Arabidopsis thaliana: one gene and its partner. The protein of the gene in region 2 interacts with the protein of the main gene of each other region in a pairwise test. Each region holds a gene or a part of one and is shown on either strand. Other genes may lie near its edges.

Region 1 (3,759 bases), on a different chromosome or scaffold from region 2:
AGAAGTAGAACTCGACAAAAGATTCTCTTAACCAAAGAAATTCATGTCGTTTAAAGAAATTCAAGAACTATTGAAACAATTTGAAATTATATATTCCATAAAAAGAGAGCATGGGAAATGGAGGAATTGTGAATGAAGTGTCGGTACGTAAACAGGTTAGGACAAAACAAAGTTTCCTCATCTTTCTTAGTGCCCACATGAGCCTCTACGATTCCTTCTCTCCCATCAATGCTCTCTTCAATCTTAGTTAATTACTTCGAATGTTTGTCCTATCTTCTCTTCTCTCTCATCTCCTATCTTTCTTTCTCTCTCTATCTGTCCATAACCCTAGATTTGAAGATCGAGGGCGATCATGGTAAAAGACTTCATAGAAATTCTATAACATTCAAGCTGTGTTTATATGAATACGAGCGTTGAAATTTGATCCCATCGCGTTTTCATATATGTTCCAAAATGCTTGTATAGATATGTGTGTGCATAGACATAGAGTGTCGGAAATTTGCATCGGGACGATTTATAATTAATTTGGTGTAGGGTTTGAGGTCCTTATTAATTTCACATAAAACTTGGTTCAATTTTGTAAAAAGTGTTTGTACTTATTTTTCTTGATTTGAAACTTATTTTGAGAATTTATGATTAACGACAGCTTATCTATGTTTACAAATACTAATTCAACTCACAAGATGACAATAAAGACAAAGATTGCACTCTAGAAAGAAAGTTGCTTTGCCTAATTTGAACAATTAAAAAATTGCATTCAAAGATAATATACCCGTAATTATTTATTAGTTACCTCTCTCGAATTATATACTGATTGGTAAGTTGGTAAGCCCTACAAAAACATATAGTTAGCCAATTCTCGAAGAGAAACCAAATACTAATATATGGAGGTGTGTAACCCAATGCCCATTGAAAAGGGTCACCAATAATAAAACCAAAAAGATAAAGACAACTTCTGTTTTGTACATACGTGAACTCAAGAATCTTTGGGAATCACATCCTTAACCATTTGACAAAACTCCCTTCTCTCTTAAGTTTTTATTTAAATTCTGTTTTCAAACGTTGGGATTGAAGACCGTCATGTATTTAACCTAAGTATATGAGAAACATGAATATAGATCAATAGCCATCATGATAAAACCAAATGCGTAGAAACGTAATTCATTCCACCACATAGTAATCGGTTGAGAGGTAGACAATAGTTTGTACCTTTTGTCTATCAGGGTTCGAATCAATCGGCTTAGATCGATAGTTCTCATGTTCCGTTTGAGTTCCCCAATGCTAATCTGATTTTTATTTTTTTAAGTTGTTTTGGAGACACTCAAAAACGTGGTTTAATATGACAAAAGGGTAAAGCGTAGTCTCCGGCAAAGGTCAACTTAATTGGAAATTATTAAAGAGAAAATTGTTAGAAAAACAAGAGTGGTTTGGTCGGATTGAAATGTTTGATACATCATTCACAAAACAACAATTCTAATGACACAAAATATTCGACTGCCAATTGTGTATACATATAGACTGGACTATTTGAACCAATATGCTTGATATCAAATATATGATTAATTAACCAATTTAAATAGCCTAGCCATTGTCACATGATATATATCAAAGGCACGTTAGGTAAACAGAAGATGTTTTAAGAAATGGTATAGTTTTTGGAATCTGAATTCATATTCAAATTCACCATATTTAAATCTTGTTTAAAGAAAGATATTATTTTTAAGAAGTAAAGGAGATAAGTTTACATGTCATTGTCACTAAAAGAACAAACGGATATTTTTCTGGTATGTTAACAAAAATGAAGCAAAACCTAATAACTAATGTGATTTCACCAAACGGAAGATTCCAACACACTTTTCCATTAAAAAAAAACATACAATTATACGTAAACATGCATGACATAGATAAGAATTTTATATATCTATATAATTATATACTATAGTTTACGACAAATAAGACTATATTATATACTTATAAGTGTATATATATGATTATAGCTAGTATTATTGAAGCCAACGCCGAAATTATCATAGAGATTTAACCTCTCTCATGGGTTTTTTTTTGTTTGTTTTTGAGTAATTGATCTCGAGAGCTAGCTAAAGACACTCTCGCCGGAGAGACATGGCCGGGAGATCTTCGCCGGGAAAATGCTCCACGTGGCTTGACCTGAACAGAGAAGAAACAGTGGAGAAGAACAATGAAGAAGAGTCATCAGTGGAAGACGAAGACCAAATCACGAATAACGTTAGACAGTATATTCGGTCCAACATGCCTCGGCTTCGTTGGACGCCTGATCTTCATCTCTCCTTCGTTCGTGCTGTCCAACGACTAGGCGGTCCAGACAGTAGGATTCTTGTTCTCTCTCTCCACGTCTCTTTCTCTCTTTCTCTCTCTCAGCTTTGTAATGTAATTGTTGTATGATTTTAAAGGAGCGACGCCGAAATTGGTTCTTGAGATGATGAATCTAAAAGGATTGAGTATTGCACATGTCAAGAGTCATTTACAGGTAATCTTCATCGTCTGTTATTCTAAGATTATCTCAGTTTTGTTCATCTTTTTCAATGTTTTCATGTTTCTGATTTCAAGATGTATCGAAGTAAGAAGCTCGAGCCGTCTTCTCGCCCTGGTAAGTTAGTTTTGATCCGCAGACATTTACCATTCCTTCACTGGGTTTCATAATTGATGGAAATGACTTTTGAACAGGATTTGGAGCTTTCATGAGTGGACAAAGAAGCTATTTGATGGACATGATCGACTCTCGATGTATCCCTCATAGCGATTTAAGACATGCCTATAACTCTAAAACCGTTCCTTCGAGGTCATACAAAGAAACAAGTTCCAGTTACTAAAATGTTTCACATTTGTATATCCGATCCGACCAAGGAAGTTAAAATTGCATTCTTTTCTGTAGGGTACTCAATCAAGACGCGGTCGTTACAAATCTTGGAGGTAACTTTCTTATGCGACCTTCGAGCTGGTTTAGCGGGTTATGCAGAAATGACCGAGACAGCACAGAGAACAAGACTCTGCCTCTACTCGAGGTAACTACCTACTTTCGTTTTAAGAGTTATAGAGGAACAGTTTTGTTAAAAACCGAGGAAGGTACTGTAATCTTGGTGAAATCTTATGCAGATTAGGAAGAAGAACAATGAGAAAAGAGTCCGAGATGAAGAAGTATCATCAGTCAAACGATTGAAATCAATGTCCGGAGGTGGGATACAGTTGCCTGAGTTTGGAAATTGCAGGCAAAAACCAACAGATGATATCAACACAATGCTCTCGCTCTCTCTGTTGTCGACATCATCAGAACCGTAACCAACATACTAGAGAGATGAAGTTTAACTTTAAAAGAGATTCAAGAGTAGAGACTTTTGTTTTCCTTAGCCGTTTCATGGGATGAGTACTTAGCCAGGATCTGGATCAGGCTTGAGTCAGATCCTGCAAGTACTTATCCTTAGCGGTTTCTCTGCATTCAATACAACACCAATTCTGGAATGCAACAAAACACATGTAATAATATGTTTCCTCGTCAAAACCACCAAATCAACTACATGGCAAGTCACTAGTTTGATGAAATAGTAAACGATAATAAAAGTCCTAAATATATAAGAATCATGATGATGATACCATAATAAGACAAAGTCATAATCAGTATCCAAAAAAATCACTCAAGCAGAAAGAATAGAATACTTAGTTATAACGACATTAATATAAAATCTTCTTTTCTTGGTTCACCTCCTCTTAGTCTTAGCTTTGAAT
Region 2 (3,759 bases):
TACATAACGACGTAACGAATTATCTTAGAATGAAAATTTGAGTTATCTGCCGTCGTTTTTTGTATAGCTAATTGGACATTGGAAATAGATGACCGCACGGTCCGCACCAAAACAAATATTATATACGTTGGTTTTCAGCAAGTCCGTAAAACAAGCACCGAGAAAATGATTTATCGTCCGTCTCTTTGGCCAACACCATGCAAGTACTTGTCTAGTGATGGTCTAATGTAACTAACGCACTAAAAATATCATATGAAATGTGATTTCTGATACAAGCTCCCATTTAGATAACAATTGTGGAATACACCGTTTTTTTTTTTTTTTTGGGTCTAAATACACTTAGAAAAGTTAGTTAGCATATCTTTCTTTGAGCATATCTTTGTGTATACGTATTTGTTACATGATTCTGTATCAAACAATAAACCATGCATGCAATATACTGATGATATAGACAAACTTATATGTGTATGTATATTCACCAATCTTAATTAAGTGCATGTGATACACGTATAGATACACACCTACATGTTATGGATATGTATATATTTGAATGATATAGGAAATGAGAGTTATAATTGATAGAAGATCCATATGAGAGTTTAAGGAAGCAAAAGGCTGAAAATGATGCCTAACCCTAATGATAGAAACCCTTAAAAGCTTTGACTTGTGATGTTATAACCTAAGAAGCTAATCCAACACCAAGAAAATCAATGAAAGTAACATCGTTCTTCTCACCATCATCTCCCATGGATGGTCCATCTTCATTTGAAGTCATCTTATGATCTGGTGTGGCTGCATGAAATGTGTAATTCTGAGGATCCACCAACTCTTTCGACTTTCTCCTCTCAAGATAAATTTCGTGGTGTACGTTAGAGACAGATGAAGATCCAAATTGACCATTCGTAGGTGGTGAAACAAAAGAGTAAGGCCAGAGACCGCAACTCTTATCCTTTCGATACCTCCATAGCCCGAAATGGGATCTATTTAGCCTTGTAAGACTAGAACTAGGGCTCAAAACAGTATGCCAAGTTTGGTTGAACGTAGAAGTAGCCGTGGAAGAGAAGTTTTCCCGTTTGCGTCTAGCCATGATGACATGAAAATGGTTTTTGACAGCGTTGTCGGTCCTCCCGGGGAACAGTCGGGCTATGGAGGCCCAACGATTCCCTTGGATCCGATGAGCTTTAAGCAGTCTCTCTTCTTCCTCCTCGGTGAAGGGTTTCTTGGTGATGTTTGGATCAAGTTGGTTGTACCATCTTAATCTACAGCTTTTCCCTATGATTCCATATTGACGCTCAATTATTTATAAAACACATAGATTTAAGTAATATGATTAGATACATATATATAAAGAAATATCAATATATATATATTGATTACCTGATCTTCCATAGAGATGTTGAGCAATAAAATTCCAGTTCTTGGGACCGTATTGTTCAACGAGTTGCCGGAGATTGTCATCTTCAACAGGTCTCCAGTGACCTCTTTGGCAACTAGGCTTCTTATTGTCAAAACTGTTGCTTCCTCTAGACATCTCCATGGATGCTATCTCTATCTCCACCGTACCTATATCAAACCAATTAGCAATTGTTGAAGAAAGAGGTATAAGATAGATTAGTCTAAGGTGAAATGATAACAAGGATGAAAATTAATACAAAGAGGAAGAAAAACAAAAAGGAATAAAAAAGAGAGGGTTGGTCTTGGTTCTCTCCTCTAGGGTTATAGATGATAAGTCACTTTTCTTCTTTTTACAAGACACCCTCTCCTTTTTATATAATATAATTATTATACCCATCTCAACAGAAACTCTTTTTTAAGAACAAACTTATACTACTTCTTTGTACTAGTTCTTGTTTCATAGAGATATACATAATACTAATACCAACATGAGCCTCTACGTACTTAAGTTATGTAGTTCTTTTTATAATCTATATATACGTGTTTGTAAATAAATACCGTTTTGAATTGCTCTAGCTAGTCCCAAAGTACGTACTTTATATTTATAGTCGTCGCGTATATATATATATATGCATCTTACTACCTACATCTTACGAGGTTATACTAATCATTTTCAAAAAGAAGCTAATGATCTTGATGCTTCTGAACTTCAACAGCTAGCTAGATTTGATCACGACCAACCTGCATTGACGATCATTCTTATTATGTTTTGTTTATTTTCCGACAATTATACTTATTATTTTCCAAAACATGTTTATTTTGTTGTATTCCACTTTACTGTTGGTACTTTCAAAGATGCAAGTAGTTGTAAATCGAATAAAAAACAAACGACAAGTCTTCTAAATATAGCAGTCATCGTCATTGGTTGCTGTAAATAAACATGGTATATGTGATATAGATATACCTTTACAAGTTAAGCATAATTTAATATTTCTGTTAACACAGAATTATGCGATTAATTTAACATGTTAGGTGGTATTGTTTGAATGATATATACCAGAATTTGAGTATAAATCTAATGTGTTAACCATCAATCATAAGAATTATATAGTATAACATGATCTCGGACCTAGAGAGAATATGAGACAAAGATGTGAATTTTTGTTATTATAAGAAAACAAATAGATTTCTGTTACAATATAGTTATCAAAATGTCTCTTTTTTTTGGTAAAAATTATCACAATGTATCTTCTTTATTTATGTAGGTCGACTCATCTAAGTAAGGCCTCAAGCCTTGTGATATTCACATAAAAGTGAAGTAACCTTTCTCAGCTTCGGTGACGAATCCACTCTGCCTTTTGTTCTAGAATCTGTTTTGTTTTCTCAAGATTTATTACATCTTGGTAATACAGGTTACTAGCGATGCCCGTGGTGAAATTCTAGCATGATTAAAGACAAGTTTGGTTTTGGTATATCACTTTGACGAAGTAAATGGTATTAGTCAAAATAGGGGGCACACAACACATAATTTAGACTTTTTTTATGTATATTATTCATATACATAGTCACACATGCACAAAACTTTCTCTCGTAACTTTTTCTTGTTTTCTATAATTTAATTATACTAATCAATACTTGGGGACGTACTTACAACCTGGAGTTTTCTCCAAACATTCTTTATTTTCCCTTTGGGAAAACAGAGGTTTACTCGTATTCAACTCTAGTTCGAGCCCTCCTAACTACATTACCCTCTGCAGAGCTATATTATCACAATTTTTCACAAATTATTAGCAAATAATCGACTTTTCATTACCTCTATATATATATAGAGGTAATAAAGAAAAAAATCCTTAGCAAAGGAAGTTAAGAACCAATTTGATCAATGTAAGACGATTGTTTGGCTTTAATGAAATCTGAGATGGTGGCTGCATCACCATGTCTGACCACTCTACCGTTCTCCATATACACAGCTCCATCCGCATACTTGAGCTCCTCTAACCTATGTGTCACCCATAATGCCGTCACATCTCCTTTCTTTGCATTTATCAGATCTTTTACAGCTTTGATCACACCCATCTGCAGAACAAAAACCCCGAGAAAACAATATGCACTGATTAAAAAAGGCGTATACGTCATAACATATCTGTCAAATTCATTTCATTTCTTCTAGATACTATATCAATTGTGCAAGTTACTCACTTCCAATGTCTACTATAACACAATCATATGTCGATGTTGAAATATTCCAGTTATGGAAGGGTTCCCTTGCAATACTAGTTGTGTTTCATTAGCACGTTGTTAGAATTAATCAAACCTTACCTGGTCAGACTCATCTAGGAAAGTTGTGAGCTCATCCAACAATAG

The links. The genes of interacting proteins can lie anywhere in the genome.
Region 1: the proteins of MYB69 (region 2) and AT2G42660 interact in a two-hybrid assay, tested with the Arabidopsis thaliana proteins (one large-scale study listed by BioGRID).

Annotation. Positions count from the first base shown.
Region 1 is NC_003071.7:17,766,621-17,770,379, reverse strand, and holds AT2G42660 (Homeodomain-like superfamily protein), read left to right. Parts: upstream 1-2,000; 5' UTR 2,001-2,121; coding exon 2,122-2,344; intron 2,345-2,429; coding exon 2,430-2,506; intron 2,507-2,586; coding exon 2,587-2,626; intron 2,627-2,703; coding exon 2,704-2,818; intron 2,819-2,911; coding exon 2,912-3,041; intron 3,042-3,132; coding exon 3,133-3,315; 3' UTR 3,316-3,330; downstream 3,331-3,759. Other genes in the region: AT2G42650 (Ribosomal protein L1p/L10e family), read right to left, coding at 3,732-3,759.
Region 2 is NC_003075.7:16,095,067-16,098,825, forward strand, and holds MYB69 (myb domain protein 69), read right to left. Parts: upstream 1,709-3,759; 5' UTR 1,538-1,708; coding exon 1,378-1,537; intron 1,273-1,377; coding exon 680-1,272; 3' UTR 326-679; downstream 1-325. Other genes in the region: ABCI10 (ABC transporter family protein), read right to left, coding at 3,259-3,471, 3,715-3,759.